Linked DNA regions of Lytechinus pictus. The protein of the gene in region 1 interacts with the protein of each later gene in a pairwise test. Links are inferred from orthologs where the notes say so. Each region holds a gene or a part of one and is shown on either strand. Other genes may lie near its edges.

Evidence for each region.
Region 2: the proteins of SH3 domain-binding protein 2-like (region 1) and drebrin-like protein A interact in binary tests that used the Homo sapiens proteins (3 or more experiments, as listed by UniProt). The link is inferred for Lytechinus pictus from reciprocal best matches to the Homo sapiens genes SH3BP2 and DBNL.

Annotation. Positions count from the first base shown.
Region 1 is NC_087256.1:8,751,293-8,760,993, forward strand, and holds the start of SH3 domain-binding protein 2-like, read right to left. Parts: upstream 4,236-9,701; 5' UTR 3,064-4,235; coding exon 2,931-3,063; intron 1-2,930. UniProt on the Homo sapiens protein: Binds differentially to the SH3 domains of certain proteins of signal transduction pathways. Binds to phosphatidylinositols; linking the hemopoietic tyrosine kinase fes to the cytoplasmic membrane in a phosphorylation dependent mechanism.
Region 2 is NC_087256.1:7,117,966-7,128,027, forward strand, and holds the start of drebrin-like protein A, read left to right. Parts: upstream 1-5,414; 5' UTR 5,415-5,587; coding exon 5,588-5,670; intron 5,671-7,150; exon of another isoform or gene 7,151-7,348; intron 7,349-8,778; coding exon 8,779-8,834; intron 8,835-9,165; coding exon 9,166-9,278; intron 9,279-9,959; coding exon 9,960-10,034; intron 10,035-10,062. Other genes in the region: nuclear pore complex protein Nup107-like, read left to right, coding at 1-169, 1,108-1,215. UniProt on the Homo sapiens protein: Adapter protein that binds F-actin and DNM1, and thereby plays a role in receptor-mediated endocytosis.

The DNA.
Region 1 (9,701 bases):
TGGCAAGCCATTTGACCCATAAAGGCGATACGAAAAACCCAGTTTTTCGCCGATAAACTATTGTTTATCAATTGATAAACTTAGTTTTTCAAGCGATAAACATAGTTTTTTGATAAACTTAGTTTTTCTCTTGAAAAGCAGAGTTTCTTGAAAAACTAAGTTTTTCGACTGATAAACAGAGTTTTTCTAGATAAACTGAGTTTTTCTAGATAAACTGAGTTTTTCAAGTGATAAACTTAGTTTATCGGCAAAGAACTGAGTTTATCAGTGAAAAACTAGGTTTTTCGATCGAAAAACTAGGGTCAAATGGCTTGCCATAGGTGGCTGGGCAACATAACGAATACAGCCCAATATTCCACATCTTTTGAAATACAAGTGACAATTTCTGCTGTATACACAAACCCATATCTTGAGACTTGCAGGGTATTGTGTGTTTGGAGCTGGGCAGCTCGTACTTGTCTTCATCACTGTCCTCATCATCTAGAAATCTCAAATCATATCTACCCATGCAATTTGCAATTGCTCCATCGCTCTATAGCATGCAAAACATCAAGTTACAGAGAAGTAATCAAACGATTGGACCTAAGACATAACAGGATATGGATCAAGCCTATCAACGCATGTTGAGATCTATAGACGCTATCCTGATTCAATTACATCGTTCCTCCAAACTATTAAAAACTCATTTGCCAACCATCCTGTGTGCTTTACTTCACTGAATCATTTACCAGGAAATTCTAGCTCCTTGAAGCATGGCATCACTATGATATTGAACACTAATTATTCTATTCAGATCTTTGCTTGAGATTTCACCAAAAAACAAAATAGTTACCTTTCTTCTCTTCTCCTTGTTTTGTTAAATGATTCATTCTGCTCAGCCCACTCTTAAAGGCAGGCATGTAGGTCGTATTTAAACAAATTTGAATTTGATTCATGTTACGATACTGCTCATATGGGTGTAAAAATCACCCAGGAAGAAAAAAAAAATCAAATTTGAGCAGACTCTTTCAAGATATCTGTGACTGAAAAATCATAAATTTCACCAAACCTCCTCTTTGGAGATTAATAGTATGTTCGTGTATGGGATGAAATTAAGATGGTGTATTCAGTCAGTTATATATTTCACTTTTTTCCACTAAGATTTTTTTGGGGGCTTCATTTTTATAACATCACAGTCGACAGTCGGACCTTGTAGCTTGGATGTTGAAAGTCAAAATGTTAGGCTATAAGACTTTTGCCTTAAATTGCTCATTTTTGCAGAGGATAGCTGAATCAAAAGATGAAGAAAAATTGAGAAGAAAAATGTTCTCCTCTTTTACCAAACGTTGGTGCACTGTTTGATTTCAGGAAATAAAAAGAATATCTAAACTAATATTGGTCTCATATTCATTGCTTTAATTAGAGTTGTGGCTTTTTATCTCAACAATAATTAAGTAGCTATAAATTGGCATCCTTCAGTGCTATGATACAATCAAGTTGCACATGAATAGGATCTACACTGTACATGTAAATTGACTATACCCACATCTACTGGTGTACAGATGGTTGAGGGCTTGGGGCACTTGCCCTATCCCTTCAAAAGTTCTATGACTGAGAAAAAGAAATAAATGAAATAAAATAAAGGGAAACAAGGAAAAAAAAGGAAATGAAAGAGAAAATTGTCAACTATGAAATCCTTAACTGGAATTTATGTTACAATCTGTCACAAAATTAGATTCTCATTTTCAAAAGGTTAGAGTATTTAGAAATAGCCCCCATACGCCATATACTACCTCTTCAAAACTTGTCATTTGAAATACAAATTACTATTGATCTGAGTCACGCCAAATTACGTGTATCCCAATGTTTGCACTGGTAATCAAAACAAAGATGGCTTTTAGAAACAAAATAAACATGAGAGCAAGTTCAAAATTGTCTGATTATCTATTGATTAAATGAATTACAGCACAGTATTAAACAAAGCCATTGCCCTTTGGACCATGTGGCAGGTATGGTTTGTTGGGATGATCAATCGATCTGATGGTTTCTACCAAGCTTGATAGCTTCTGTCTTTAATATATGTATGCCACTATGCCTGTGCTAAATATTATCCAATAAAGCCTATTACTTCTACAATTACTTCTGCCACTCCAAACCCCTTACTGTCTTCCTCTTTCCCTGCTAGGCTTCTTCTTAATAATTTTTTATTTTTTCTACTCCCAATCCTCATACTCCTCCTAATCAGCCCCCACTGCCTTGTTCTTTCCCTTTATCTTCTACATTTCCTCCTCCTTCTTCTTCTCCTCCTCCTCCTTCATCTCCTTTCTGCTTAGACCTTCTCCTTCTTCTCCTCCTTTGTCTTCTTCCTCTTGCACTTCTTCTTCTCCTCTTCCTCCTTTGTCTTCTCCTCCTTCTTCACCCCCCAGCCTCTTCTACACACTGTTGCTACCACGGCACTACTTCTACTGCTACGTACTTCTTCCTATTATTATTATAATGACTATTTCTTATACCACTATGTCTGATCATCTACTACTCCTACCACCTTTATTACTACTACTAGGACTAATATTTACTACTAGTACTTCTACTAATACTTATACTACAACCATTACTATACCACCACCTTCATTACAAGCACTGGCATAATCAAGCAGCAAACCTATTCTTCAGGGCTGGGGGGGGGGGGGTGACACAATAGTTGACCCCCCCTTGAATAGTATGACATCATGTACATCATGTATTTACACATGTGACTACAAGTATCACCACCACCACTTCTTCTTCTACTACTCTTTTCTTCTTCCACTTTTTGACTTACTACTGCTACTACCACTACCACTACCTCTACTTAATCTACTTTATACAACTAGATAGGTTTCTACTACTACTTCTACTACTACTACTACTACTTCTACTACTATTAAACTAATATTACTACTGCGTCATACTTGTTCTCTTGAGTATATCCATCGTTGATGATCCTTGGATCTCCGCATTCACGTAGGGTGGATCGCACTTTGGTTCATCTTCCACGTCGTCCCCTTGATCGGGATCTAGATCTAAATAATAACCTTGCTCCATTTTCCGTCTTCAGCCATCCAGGTTCATGGCAGACAGGAAGACATGACAATATGATCCATCACAAAATCACTTCATTTATCTAACAGTTCCATTATTAGTCAGAACAAAACCAACCTCCATGCATCCTCGCTTCCGCTTGCAAAATATGTGATCCTCAAGAACTTGTGGAGATATTAAATGTTTTAAAAATTATCAAGCTTTGGAGAGCCTTTTAGAGGGTCTTTGCTCTTCAGTATAGACCATGGAGGACTTTGGATACAGAGGTATCAGTTCCTACAGTACATGTAGTTGAGATTATATCGCGCAATAAGTATCCAATCTTGGTTATTATAAAGTCAGGTGAATTGAAACTTGCAATGTTGGAAAAAAAATGTCAATCACTTGATCGAAATTAGCAAAACTGATGATGTCACATGACAACAGACAGTACTTTGTTCTCGATGCACTTGACATAAGTTGATGAGACATCTAAGTGATTTTGTTCTATAATAGTTCACTAGCTGATCTGTTTCTTCAATGTACACAAAACATGAGTTTTACAGGGAGTAGAAAGTTCCATCTACATGTAAGAGCAGAGATTGTTCTTACTCTTAGATACTAAAATCCAACAAAATTGTCCATCATAGTATTCAAAACCAGTCTAATTGCTCAGAAGAAGGATATCCATAAACGTGCTAACCTCTTCATACGGCAGTACACAGATCAACTGTGAACCTGAAGCAATTATCAAAACCAGCAAACACCCGGTTGTGACCCCTGATACGATGGAAGGTCCCGTGTCACCTTTTACGCCTCTTTCAGCTGCCACATGAAACTTCACATGTTCTAACAGCAATCAATCTCAGATCATCTCTGGTGCATGATGAACTGGGAGAAGATAAAATCCCCATACAAAGGAATTTCCACAGGTCGATTCCTCACAAAAAAATCAAATTTGAATACATCCCATTTGTAATATATATCAAACTATTCAACAGGTACTTTGCTTTACAGGCGATATACAGATATATCACCCTACTTCCATGTGGTCTCCATGAACTTGCACTCATCCATGTATAAACTACCGGGATACAATATTAATAGATAATACACCTCCAGGAACATTGAATAAAATAATCCAGCTGCATGCATGTATAATGGAAAAGGAATGCCAATTTATACACAGGAAGTACAGTTCAAAATTTCATCGTGATATCAAGGTCCAAGGTTTTATGAGACCTGTCCTAGTGGGAAAACCCCACCTACATACTGTATTTCAACAACCCAGCGATCATTTTCTTCCTCCTCACTGATATCTTTTGAATTAGATATTATTAAGGTCGTTAAAACTTTGATTAGACATACATTAGTCACAAATTCAGGATATGGTCAAGTGTTTTCCAATCAAGAATTACTCATTAATGATATGTGAATTGGAAGAAACTGAGATACAGGCATACAGAAGACCCCAACACTGAAAGTATAGCTCTGTGCATTGATCTTCATTAACACACTGACTTCACAATTCTGTGATTACCATATGCTTTGAACAGCAACCATCCGTTTCCAGGAGGCAATGACTTAAAAAGCAAAAGATGAAACTGTAAAATGAGACAAAAATCTCTCACATACAATTTGAGCTGCATAAAAACCACAAGTGCTTTAATTAGCATCATAGAAACTAAGTGAAATCTAATTCAATTTTTATCTTTTACTTGTACATACAACCTGTACATGTATGTAAAGTTAAAGGCCGATAATTTATGATCAAGTCTACATATACAGTACATGCAAAAATGATTTTTAAAACTTAAAGATAGTTATGTGTACAAACATGAACTATGGCTTCTATAATAGCCTGTTAAGATAAAAATCTCGAAACTCAAATAAAGCAATGTCAAATACAAATAAATTTAAGATTGATCAGAGCATTCATTTTCTTTGACAAGTTCTAGTTTGAACTGACTGATGCTCAAATTATTAGTTATTGTGTTTTTTTTTAAATAACTTTCCATCATGTATCATGTTTATAGTCAGTGTTCAATATTAAAGTTTTGGAAAAGCTATTTGGCTTACTTCATAATGAGTTTTGGGAAAAAATACAAAATCCCAGTCAGGGACGGATCCAGGATTTGCCAAAGGGGGGGGGGGGGGGGACACATTTCCAGAGGAAAATTTGACAAGCAAAAAAAAGCTTAGTATTTTTCAATAAATCTAAATTATTTTGGAATAGCTCATTCATTTGGTATCTACATGTAATTTGATTTAGAATATGGCTATGTATATTGTAGCATTTTTTACAGCTTTCCAATATGTTTCAGTAAATGAAGATGTATAATTTTTCTTTATACATATAGAAATTAGCATTACCATTTCAGTGTTTTAAATTGTGTATGTGAACGAATTATAAAAGATATAAAGAACTTTCACACCTTCCCAATCTGGAAAATACATTACAAGATCTTTGACGCCCCAAATTTTGCTTTAACAATATATTTCACAGATTCACACCCCAGACGTTTTCACAATTCATGGAACTACATCAAGGAATGTGTATTTGTGTGTAAGAAAGTGCATTCTTCCTATAAATATTCTGAGAATTAGACCTTAAAATTGTCACTGCTAACTTGGAGAAAATTTTCATTTTTTAAGAGGTACTGTATACATGTACTAATTTATCTATTATCTACAGGTACAAGTAGCGTTGTTCACTCTGACAAGATATCAGGTATTTTTCTTGTCATGGAGGTGTGAAATCACCTACATGTATGACTGAATGGAACCAAATTCCTTTGTGGGAATCTGATGGGTAAATTTTGCTAAAATTTGGCCCTATAGCTCAAATATTTAAAAAGGGCGGTGCCAGTTATCAAAATAACTAGGAGGGAGGCAGGGCATCATGGTCTAGTGGTTCTAACTCTTGTCTTTCAATGCAAGGTTTGTGGGTTCAAAATCAAATTCATGCCATGATGTGTTTTCTTTCAAAAAAGAAATTTACCCACATTATGCTGCATCCATGTGAGGTAAATGGGGACCTGGCAGGATTGATTCCTTGAATACACATGTGCTACAAACAGCAACTTGAGCTTATACTCCAGGGTAATGATAATAGTGCCCATCAAAAAGATTATTTCTAGATTGATAGCACTACATAAATGACTATTACTATTGTTATGATTATAATACATTTAAGAGTAAATAAAATAAAGACTTTTGACTGATATATCAAGAATTAATTTATTGCAATTCCTGTGTGTGAAATCTCTTCATGTATTTCATTCGCAATGGTTTGACTTTTGAATGTCTCCAAATAGGAAATAATTTGGGAAGAAGACTGCACTGCTTAGAATGTTGCATTATGGGTAAGAAACATGGCCAGTATCGAGTAGTAGGGGACTTGAGTCGGTGCTATACAAAGCTGCTGGTTTGTATTGCTTTAATCTTTGGGTATATGGGTTGAATTAGACATATTTTTCCTGTTGATCTGTAGCAAAAAGACTTTTATGAAAGGATCAGAAGATTAAAATTTGTTTTTGTTTATCTTATCAATTATTGTTCATATTAGGATTTTGCTCAATCAATCAATCAATCATGCTCATAATGACGTCAAAGAAGGCTTCTATAATACAACTTGGAACATGTGCTCAGAAGTTGATACATATTCACAAGGTCAATTTTTGCACTACTTTTTGCAAAAACCTAATATAGAATTCAGCAGAACTTGACTAAAATTGCAAGAATGAGCTCCTGGATGATAGCAAAATATTGCTTTGAATCTTGAATCATGATTCTTTCATTTGTGCATTTCAAAATTTCATGTGCCACCAATGATCATGGCTATGGGGTCGAACGCTTTTTCCTTAGACATTAAGATGGTAAATTGCCCATTCTTCTACTACCAACTCGTCCACTCACCACACGGTCTACTTTCATTTAGTCTCATGCCATTCCGTCCACCAACATTTTTCTAACAACCATTTGGTCCAATCACCACTTTGTCTAATCACCATTTCGTCCACGACCATTTTGTCTAATAACCAGTTGGTCTAATTTCATTTTCATTCATATTGCACAATCAACACTCTAGTCCAATTAGACCAAATGGTATATGGACTAAATGGCTATTGGACCAACTGGTTATTAGACGGATTGGCATTAGACTAAATGAAAGTAGACCATGTGGTGAGTGGACAAACTGATGGTAGACCAAATGATAGAAGACGAGTTGGCAATTGGACGAATTGGAAATAAACCTACAAGATTGCATGGACAGTGAGTGAGAATTGAAAAATTACATTAATATTTAACTGAATTAATAATTCTGAAGCACGGAAGAATCAGGTTCAACTGTAGTATCCAAGGGCCTTTTCACACGTGAATCTTGATTCATCATAGTAATGATGACTGCAGTTTGTCTTTAGAATCATTGGACCTTTCACACATACAATTTGTACCATAATTTGAGTGAAACTTAACTGGAATTCACAATTCACCAATTTGAATTCATGATTGTGATTAATAGCGTTCGTGATTTTAGTTTGGTTTTACACGTGCTAAAAATTCGTCATTAGCTTGATTTTTCACTGGAATCATCATTCAAATTACAATTTTTTTACCTCGTGAAAGGGACAGTAAATGAAGTTTGTAATCATTTTGAAAGAGAGGAACAATGTGATTAATGCATGGTTTTGAGTACACTGTGCTTAACTAATCACTCAAGAATATTAAACACAAATGAGTGATGTCATAGTAAGGGCACACTTTTATGTATATGTAAATATAATACACAGGAATTTGCTTGAAAACACTCTAAATTCAAATTAATGACATCTACTTACTGATGTTTTCAAGACCTTCCCTGGAGTGTAGACACGATTCTGATGTCGTTCTCTGGAGGGGTTGTAGGTGAAGGCTTGTTGGGAAGTTGATGCTGATCATCGACTCCCTACCCGTTTTCCAAGCCATAGTGTGGTCGCCTCTCTCTCTGATAAAACTCTTTCTGGTTTTAGAAACCTTATGCTCTTGTACAGGTGGCAATCACAATGTAGACCCTAGCCAGCCAATGCCAGTCTGCTACATCCCTGTAACCAATCAAACATTCTTGAATCTGATTAACTGCATTTTAAGGAAAAGGAAAGTAGTTGCAGTAAACAATTATTTCATGAGAAAGTTTTTTAAATCAAGGTTAACTGTCACTATATTATCATATATCTAGATCTGGTACATCAATCTAAACCTATCTTTGTGAAATCATGAAATCTTAGCTCAAAACTGACAATTCTGATGCTCATCAACACAGAAATAGCATGTGTGGGACAGTGTATTAATATTGCTTGGGAAAATACCAAACATTTGATGGAATTCCATACTTATTTTGCTCATTTCTCAGTAATTACGCATTTTCTTCCAGAGAGCTATTTGGCACATATTTTTTATTTATTACATACAAAAACTTGGGTGGTAATTTTATTGGATTCTGTTCGAACTCATTTTGAGATCGTTACCACAACTGGTATTTATCTTTAAAATAATATGGATGAAAACAACTTCATATTATAATTTGTTAAATTATTAGCTTCAAAATAAATAGTGTTATTCATTTCAACAATATATACACACAAAGTTGAGTATGATGGTGAGGTTAAAAAGTAACTCGCATCAGTTCTCTTTAGGCCTGTATACTGAACAATTGTAAAGGGAACTGAAGGCATAGATGCCCATGGTAAAGCATTGTCCAATACATGACCATATGAATTGCTTCACTAAAAGTCACTAGAAACAATTATTAGAATTTACCAGATGATCTCATATATGGCTTTTTTCATGGAAGTCAATATTTAGTTTTAATCAGTTTTGGGGTCAATTTTTGTTTAGTTATCACAACTAAACCTACATTTCAAAATGACTTTAACTTTAAACATCGTATATCTCTATCTACAACCTGATGGAGATGGTGCATATTTAAAATGTCTCAGATTTTATCTTTAAAATATGCTTGGAATTTCTTTTATTTATAAAAATTAATTTTAGATATCAAACATCTTTATCAACCACCAGGCGGAGAAGGGTGCAAATCATCAAAATGTTTCACATTTTATCTTCAAAGTGAGTTTGGATACTTCATATTGTAAAATCTACTATTGGAACTCACACCAAATGAATAATAACCTTAATTTTAGTAATTAGTCATTATTTTACATTAGAAATTGTAGAAATTAATGTGTATTGTTTTTTAATCATAATTAACAATCACCTGGTGGTTGGAATAATAATTACATGAATAGGTAATTTACCAATGTGATGAGTAAATATATATAGTTGTAAGTATTTTCAGGGAAATTTCGATGACATCAATATTGATAATATATATTGAGCTCTTACAAGTGCATCATTGCCAACTGCCCATTCCAATCCTGGCATAAAGACAATAGTGACGCTCATTAAAAAAGATAATACTGCAATCTTAAAACCACTTACATAGTGTCAGTTACATCAATATTACAATAAAAGTTATTTGAAGAGCAAATAGATGATTAATTTGCTCAAAAAATTAATGTTATTTTCACTTGAGTGCATAGAATGATTTGAAAATACCTTTTGCTTCTTTATTGAAATCCCATCCACGAGCTATCCTTAACAAAGAAATTTGGTTCACGGCT
Region 2 (10,062 bases), about 1.6 Mb from region 1:
TGAGGAAGAAGTTGATGAGGTTCGTGTAAGTCAGATGCAGAGGTTACGAGAGCTGTGCCTGCCGAGGATGTGCCTTCTCCTTCACTCGGTTCTTCATTCCACACACCAGTACAAGGATTGCCTGATACTGGCTGATGTCATCGCATCGGAGCAGCACCAGCTTTATAAGGTCAGTTGAATTTGAATCAGGGGTACGTTTTCATAAGCATATGTACATGTAGTATGCCTAGCAATAGAGTCTTGGAAATCTTTGTTGGAATGCTCCCCAGGGAGAAGAGGAAGGCATACATTGTGTGCGGGCATGCCAGGATCCGATGACCGGGGTAATAATGTATCTGTAAACCGCTTATAGATGCCGTTCCAAATCTGAATAAAGCGCTATATAAAAGCGGATTATTATTATTGTTGTTGTTATTGTTAATATTATTATCATTATTATTATTATTCTGCATTCATGGTTACTTTGCCAATGTGGTATCTAACACATTGGAACGTTTGATTTTGATTGGCGACTTAACTCTGTTACCATGATAGTTGTCATAATGGTAGTTACCACAAATTTCTCAACTATCAGAAAAAACAACCCATGGGCCCATTTCAATAAGGTCTACAGTTATGGTAACTCCCATGGTTAACTTGATTGTGATTGGCTGTTAAGCTCTGTGACTATGGAAGTTGTCATAATGACAAAGTTACCTTGCAAATGTAAGTCCTTTGTGAAGCATGCCCCTGATTGTGATTTTAGACAATGGAGGAAATTGTCTTGAAGTGACTGTGAAATGTTGTTTATATAAAGCACATTAGGGGCCCCTTGCATAAAAGTTACTATTATGATAACATTGCCATCCAATGGTAACTACCATAGTAATGATGATCAACAGCCAATAAAAATCAAGGATTCCATGAATGTTGCCAATGGATGGCAAAGTTACCGTAATAGTTACCGTAATGTCCATTTTAGCTGCATTTGTGATATTATGACCATAATAGCATTTAAAGCGTTTGTCCTAGAGGAGAGAAGAATTTTTGATAGTCGTTATTTGGATAAAGTTAAATGTTTCTCCTCTATTCTTTTTTTTTCTATACATCTATTTTCACCCATTGCAGGTGTTCAGCAAGCCTGAATTGAAACAAGTTCTCTCGCGTCTTAGGGAGTCGTCACTGCAACTCTTAGATCAAAGTCTTGATGCGTTAGGTTATGAAATTGCATCATGATCATATGACCAGACACTAAACCAGACCAGACAATAAAATTCCCAAACTACACTAAGGATGGGACGAATCTTGCCTCACAATAAACTAGGTCACCCAACTCACTCATAAAGTGTAACCAATATGCATCACCAGAGAATTGTAATACAGTCAAAATTTATGTGAAGGCAACACAATTCCCCATTGCTTAATCATTTTGTGTTAGAAGGCCAAGCTCCAATGTATTTATAATATATCAAGAATGAGAGAAGAATACAGGGCCATTCTGATCATTCTGATATCCTTCATTTCATTAAAAAAAAAGGTTTCTTTTATCTACTCTATCTATCTAAATCAGGCCCCTCCCCCCTCAACATTTTTTACGATAAATCTGTAACGCGAAAAGATCACGCCCTAAAGTTTCATGACTTTTTTCCTTCAAGTCTCGTGCAACTTTTTAACTTTCTCGATGCGGGGTTACACCGTTCTGAAGTTACTTAGAATTGTGTAAATGTATGTCAGACCCAATATTAAAAACATGAGTTCATGTACAAATCCAATGCAAATTATGGATGTAGCCAAAATTCATAAATATATCATCATTTTTGTCTCGCCTGCATAGCAGAGCGAGACTGTAGGCGCCGCTTTTCCAACGGCGGCGACGTCGTCAACATTGAAATCTTAACCAAGGTTAAGTTTTTGAAATGTCATCATAACTTAGAAAGTATATGGACCTAGTTCATAAAACTTGGACATAAGGGTAATCAAGTATTACTGAACATCCTGCGGGAGTTTCAGGTCACATGTCCAAGGTCAAAGGTCGTTTAGGGTCAATGAACTTAGACCATGTTGGGGGAATCAATGTAAAAATCTTAACCAAGGTTAAGTTTTTGAAATGTCGTCATAACTTTGAATGTATATGGACCTAGTTCATGAAACTTGGATATAAAGATGATAGTGTATCCCTGAATATCCTGTGCGATTTTCAGGTCATATGACCAAGGTCAAAGGTCATTTAGGGTCAACGAACTTTGATAATGTTGGGGGTATTTGTGGAATTGTCATCATAACTTTAAAATTTGATAGATCTAGTTCATAGAAACTTGGGACATAAGAGTAACCATGTATCCCTGAATATCTTGTGCTTGTTTCAGGTCACATGACCAAAATCAAAGGTCATTTAGGGTCAATGAACTTTGGCCATGTTGGGGGTATTGGTTGAATTGGCATCATCACTTAAAAAGTTTATAGATCTACACAGTTTATGAAACATAGATATAAGGGATATTCAAGTTGTTTTGCACATGTCTGAGGTCATATGATCATGTTCAAAGGTCATGTTGGGTAAATGGACATTGTATTTTATTATCATATGAGTGTTTTCTTTTATGAATAATTATTTGATAGCTGTTTTCAAAGTCAGCACTGCTGGTATATCAAATCGCATAATGCAGGCGAGACTGCCAGAGGCGTTCCACTTGTTATTTGTACTGATTAAAAGTAATTGATTTCATGTTATTTATGACTGAAAAAGTGTTGCCAATAGTTTCCATAAAAACAACAATGAAAACCATAAAGTAAAATAAACAGAGAAATGCATAAGAAATTAAATAAGCAATGAAATACATAAGAAAAAACTTTTTTTTTAAAGTAATCATAAGAAGAGTGTCAAGACCAAAATCTAGCAGTTTCGGGCTATATTTTAAGATTAACAGCCAGTTTATGTTTTAATGCATTAATTAGCATAATTGATTAATTCAATTGACAATTTAATTGTGGAGGTTACATCATAGATGATGTGTGTGACAATTTTTGTCACAATCGCGTGATCAATGGCCGAGATCTGAGGAGGGGGTGTTTTTGCCCCCCCCCCCCCCACTATAAGGGTTAAGTCTTCCAGTAAATAGGTGTTCTTTTTCGAGAAAGGACATGTAATACAGGCTTCACAAAATCTAGAATTTGTACTCTCATTCGAGAGAGCGAAATAGAGTTGTTTATGTTTTATGTATTTTTGAATCCTTCAAAAGGGAAAGTTGTTTGTGTAACAGCGCACATCTTGGTTGCATTATATTGCCTAATGATAATGTGACTTATAAAGCGCCAAATCCTCTCTGTAGAGTGCTCAAGGCGCATAAAGAGCTAAGTGTTAAATAAAAAAGTTTTTTAGAAGATTTTTGAAAGTTTCGACAGAGGTACATTTTTTTATGTCTTCATGAAGGCTATTCCACAAAGTGGGGCATGCAAAAGCAAATGATCTTTCCCCCCAGGTTTTTGAAACTTTTGGAATAACAAGGAAGCCAGAAGTGGATGAGTACAAAGACCTGCTTGGTCTGTAGTAATTGATTAATGAAAGACTATTTTGGTGCTGATCCAAGAATACTATGAAAAGCCTATGGGACAATCTCCATAACATTAGTGTTTTGTACATTCAAATGCTCAATAACTTACATTTCTTGTCCATTTTTTCACAAACCTTCATCAAAATCTTACAGATTTATCTTTTTTTTTACACAACCTAACTTTTTCCAAAATTTTTGTTTTCCATGAATGGTAATATTTTTGTCAATATTCCATATTATTTTTTCTGTTATTTGTGTCAAATACTTAAAGAATCATGACTGTCAAATGTATATTGTATAAAGTGACTTTCTACTCACATTCTTTTGTTAGATGAACCATGTTCCTATGGAAGAAACCACAATGTTATTTTGTAAATATAAGCTGCTGATAAAAATAATGAACAAATCCTGTATTTGTGTTGAGTAAATATTTTGTTGTGGTTGTAAAAAGCCAGAGTCCAGTCTACTCACATTTAGGTACCCGTGGCTGAAATTGACATGCATATATTGGAATAGACCATATTTCTCTTGTTCAATCATGGCACATTCTATATCTATAGGATTGTTTCCAAAAGAGTTAATTGTGTCTCATTATCCTCACTTTTTTTCGGTATATAAAGCATCATCGCATTGGTCAAATCATACCAAGGGTATGCACACTAGTGTGTATTAATCCTATGGTATCAATCAATAAGATTGCGTGTTACATATCATGTGCGTGCATGATTTTAAGTCACATTTAACACTATTTACACCGTAGAGCTAAAAGGCCTTTAATTTTTTCCTGTATCCATGAAATGCTGACTATTTTCAGGGTTAAATTCTTAAAGAAATAGATAAATTCATTCTGTATGCTTATCGTTTGTGAAGATAATCATTGTCAGATTAGGCTGAGACTTTCTCTTTCATTTGCAACTACTTGAAGACACAGAGAGAGAGAGAGAGATCAGCTATGTTAACTTAAACATTTTGACAAAAGCACAGAATGGCCAGCAGAGCAATAGGTCTGTAACATACTTATATAAGATTTGATTTATTACGACCAGAAATCAAAACACATGTTGGCCTATCAATTATTGCCATCCATCGTCTTGCTGGCCATCCTAGCCTATTCATTGATAATTCAAAATGGCTTTGAAAAAAAAGATAACAGAATAAGAAAAACAGCAGAAGCATGCCCTGGGCAATTTGAGAGAGAGAGGTTGGGGGGGGGGGGTTCTCAAAGAATTAGGTAAGAGAGGAAGAGAAAGGAATGGAGAGAGAGAGAGAGAGAACAAGGACATGGAATGCAAAAAAATTGTGGGGTACGTCTCATAATGTTACATCAACAAAACCAAAGGTATTACATTACGGTCTCCCTTGACTCTAGTTTCCCTCAAATTATGCATACATGTACTAATTGAAAAATCCTGTGGGGATGGGGCACTGAGAGAGTGAAACGTTGGAGCAGTAAGCACATGACAAAAAATGTTACTTTATTCTTTTCGCCTATGTTTTGCTAATATAGAAATTGTTAAAATACACAGAACTCTAATTCATGATGCACATCCCCTCCCCTTAGGATTTAGAGGCATATTAAATTCCAATTTCCCCCCCCCCCCCACACACACACACCCCACCCTTCTTGCAATTGTATATTTAACACATTGGCAAGAATAGTGAGCATTTTTTTTGTCCCAGGATATATTCAGTCAAATCAGGAACTTAATTGAAATAATTCTCCCTCATGGCCCCACCCTCCCTCCTTTCCCATTAAGAAATAAACCAAACACGTATCTAGTAGGCCTACATAAAAAAAAGTCCCAAGATAACAAAACTCCCCAAAAAGCAAAACATACCTGTGGACAGAGAAAGGAAACGGTTCGGGGTGGGGGGTAAATGAGCGATGAAGTAGAGAATGGGGGATAGGGAAAAGTGACTGAGGGAGGATGATGAAGAGGTTGAAGTTGATTACTCCCATTCTCCTGCTCGTGTCGACGGCGAGCGCCATCTGCGTGTAAAATATTACAGGATTGAAGGGGGATCGAGCTCGAGGAAGAAGAGAATTTAAATGCAAAATGTCGATAAGTTTTGTAAAACACCGAGATGCTTTGATGCAGGCATACAAAGATGTCTGTGACGACAAAAAACCGACAGACTGGTAAGTATCATTAAATTCAAAGGTAATGAGATATTCGTTTTCCTGTTTGAAAGAGGAACAGGTGTGTGAATTTTCCGATTGCGGAAACGACCGACCAAGACGAGCCAAGCTGGGGCGCTGGCCGTGTCTTTGAGTTAAAACAACGGGGGACTACCCGTGTGAATTAAGCGTCATGACCGGTGGTTGCCAACTTCCGGGTATGCCTGCTCGGCTACTGGTCGAAGTTTGTTGCGAATTATACAATGGCAAATCTCTCATTTTCAAATGTAATACATATGTAGTACTAGTAGCATTATTGTGAAATAAACCACCAGTCCAAACGTTGCTGTAGAGTGTTTATTTCATCAGTTTTCATGATTTTAAACTAGAATAAAGCTGCAGCTAGCCAGCCACTCAACAGTAGAGGCGCACGGCCAATATTGGAGACTGTCTCCAATGTGGGAGATTATCTCCAATATCAGAGACTCTTGTAAAGAATTTGGGTATCCAATTTCAGAGACAGTCTCCAGTTTTGGAGACCAATTTCCTTTGTTTACATTTGCTGCAAAAGGATTACCTTGGCGGCAAATAAAAATGAGATAAACAGATTCCTCATGAAAAATTAGTAATTAGGCCTACCCCTTTTCACCGTCTACTTTTAGTTTAAAAATTCACCGTCTACCTTTGTTTTGATAAGGATTTTTGTTGTCAATCACACACAAAACAAATGGGCTTCTACAATTCTGACCTCAGTGAGACAAAATTTTGGGTGGAAAAAATCATGCTTTTGTTGGTGTTGTTTCTTTTGTCCTTTTGCAAAGCAAGTCTCCAATGTGGGAGATTGTCTCCCCTATTGGAGAGAGTCTCCCATATTGGCCGTGCAACTCTACTGCTCAAACAGTCATCACTGCCGCTCACTGGTTCAGAAAAAAAAGACAGAATCACTTTTTTTTTATCAATTCATAGTCAATCAAAATGAAAGCTCGATGTCCGAGCTGAAATATTTTCCAATATTTTTTCATAATGACTTCAAAACTGGATAGTTTTAGCTCCATTTCACTGCCTATTGAGCAAGATACGTATCTCATCGAACAAAATACAAATTAAGGTGAATAAAACAAACCGTAGTAGAGAAAAAAATTAGATCGAATTTTCGCCCATAGGGCTTCATCAGGAAATGATGAATTTATTAGTCAACACAAGAAACGCAGTGCGCAAAACATCGAACACTGGGTAATGTCATGGCTTGCGAGTGCTAAGAGCGAGCAAATAGGGTATATAGTATTGTAACAAAACTGCCTATTTAGAGTCTGGTAGTAGACTACCTCTGTTATTCTTCTCTCTCTCTCTGTGTCTATCTCTCTCCTACTATCCCCATCTTCCCTATGCACAGTAGTGCAGTCTCTCTGTGTACACTACATGTGTGTATCTTTATGTAAGAGTGCCTTGTGCACTCATGTGTTTAGGGACTCCCCTACACTTACACTTGAAGGAGGGGGTTAGTTAGTTGAAGTTTGGCCCTCGATGGGTGCAGTTGTTGTGTAGCTCTCGTACTGTGAGGAGTGGTTGTAGTTTGGCTCCTGTATTTTTGGTTGTTTCGCCCTAGCTCTGAAGTCAGAAGATAATCGATTGGGAGCAGATATTTGTGTAACCACTGCTCCAGTTTAGTGTAAATAAAGGCCAAGACCAAGACTTGAAGGTAATTTCAAATTGAGTTGATTCTTATTTTATTTCTAATTAAGTTTGTCAGATGACCGAGAGCAGAGATTGTGAAAACGTGAGTAGACTGAGGAATGAGTGCACGTGAGGATGTGTTGAATCGCAATATATTTTTGTGAAAGAACCTGGTGAGCAAAGTTCAAAGGTGATTTCGGATACAGTATAGCCTTGGCCCTTGGGGACATGAAAGATTGTTCTGTTTCCAAGTCATCACTTCACCTTATTTCAGTCACTCGTCTCCCTCTTATTTTCCCTCTTTTTTCTCCTCTCCTTTCCTTTTTCTTTTTTTTTTCTTCCTTTTTTTCTATTTTTCGCACCCCCAATAGAGAGGTGGCACAGCCCCTTCACCCCCCCCCCATGCAGCAGTAGACTCTACAAGCTTTGATTCTTTATAAAAAGATAACAGTGTGAATGAAAGACTCTACAATTAGGAAGACTAGACACTTGATCAACTTAGCGTAATGCTTTACATTGATTTGTGTGTAAAATAGTTTGAGTACCTCATCTTTCCCTTGTATTGTCTTTGATATAAATATAAATTGTGCTCCCTCTATTGGTGAAAATGTTGGTCTGTGATAAATTGCAATGGCTTCACCGCTTCACTCAATGAAAAAAACGAAAAATAATCAAAAAAATTTCACACAAGGATAACGAGGTGGAAAAAGGGGTTCATATTATTTGGTAAAAGAATTAATGTAATGAAATAAATAAGGTAAAATCCTTGATTTTCACACACATGGCTAATGCAATGAACCCACAGGGCCCGGGTGGACTGCTGTTGGTGACACCTCCTATGCATCCAGTAACTTGTAAGAGACGTACGGCTAATAATGTTGGAGACTCCCGGCCAACATGGGAGACAATTTCCAATATTGGAGACTTGCTGTGCAAAAGGATAAAAGAAACAACATTAATGCCAAGGCAGTTATTCCCTACAAAACTTTTGTCTCACTGATATATATATTGAAGATAAATAAACTTGGTGACAGTCTCCCATATCGGCTGTGTGCCTGGCTTTAGTAATGTCATTACAAATTCATGGAAAGACGGCAAGTCTTCGGAAAGAGACAGTGAAAGAAGAGTATTTAATGACAGAGACTCTGTTTCTAGTACTAGCTGCTGTCCATGACCCACATGGGCATATAAAAATAACACAAATTTCATGATTTATTTTTTTAATCTGATTCAGATAATGCATGAAATAATATTCAAATATTTTTATGCAAAGGACTAAAAAAAAATTTTCCTTACAACAAAAACCTTGAAAAGAATGTAAAAGGAATGCATACAGTAATATTCAGGCATGTGCCTTTGTTTTGTCTATCTCAAAATGACGTTGCAGTGGTTTGTTTCTCAAGCTATGACAAGAAAAAATATCTCTATCACAAATCTTGTCTTCCCCCACTGCAGGGTTGTTTTTGGCTATGAAGGAAAATCATACGACTTGAAGGTAGTCGACACAGGAGGTATGTATACATAAACCATTGATGATTTGAAGAGTTTGAATAGCTCTTCCAATTGCAAAAATTAGTATCTTTTCTTTGATATATGCCTTATTTTGCAGCTTTTTTTTATAAAAAATAATTAAATAAATGATTTAACATGAAGATGGAATTGCCAATTTGAATGAGAAAGCAAGGATTTTGATTTTGTTTTTAATGATTGCAATGATGATGATAGATTACCAAACTATGGGTTAAATTTTCCAAGAACACTAGTGCTAGACAGGCCTGATTATAACGATTGTAATCTTGCCAGTTTTGTTTTTGTTTTTGTTTTGTTTCTGTTTCCTTGTAGAGGATGGCATTGAGGAAATGGCGGATTCCTTCAACTGCGCCAAAATACAGTATGCCTTCCTCAGGGTGATAGACACTAACAGCAATCTACCTAAGAATGTACTTATCAATTGGGTGAGTAATATGATATATGTATATTAAAAAGGGGAATTACATAATTCATTTGGAATTCACCTCTTGTATAAATTTAAAGTAAGCCATTATTTTTTCTTGCAGTACTTGGATTAAAAATTCAATATAGAGAGCTGGGTTTCATGTCTTTCAGGTTTTAATCTTGAACATCTGTTGACAATTAATTTTTGAGAGCTCTGACCTTGATTTTTACCAGTGAAAGAAATGGTTATTGTTGAAGATTGTTGATAAGGCACCAACTAATTATTGATTGCTGCAAAACATTGGAATCACCAGAATGATATGACAGTAGATAATGACTAAGTTCTGCTAAGAATCAAATACATTGCATTGTTTTTCTCACATAAAGCAGTACAGGATGAAATAATTGATGTGGGTATTTTAGCTATTATTTGTGAAATTATGATTACACACTCAGGAGCATCCCTGTAAACTGGACAACTTTTCTTTGACAATATTTCGAAATATCATGGAAAGAATTGCAGTACTTCTGTCCCTTTTGTACTATTACTTTATTACTACATTCCTATTTAGTTTCAAATAACCCCCCCCCCCCCCGCCTGATTTCCAATGAACAAAAACTGGAAAATTGACCCTGTACAGAATTTCTTTTCCCCTGGCAGTTTGAGACCCATTTTAGTTTTGTGTTTCTTTCATTTGTAGATTGGTGATGGAGCTCCTGTATCAAAGAAGGGAACATGTGCAAGACATCATCAGGATGTTGCTAATTTATTCAGAGTAAGATGACGGTGGATCTGGGGTGGAT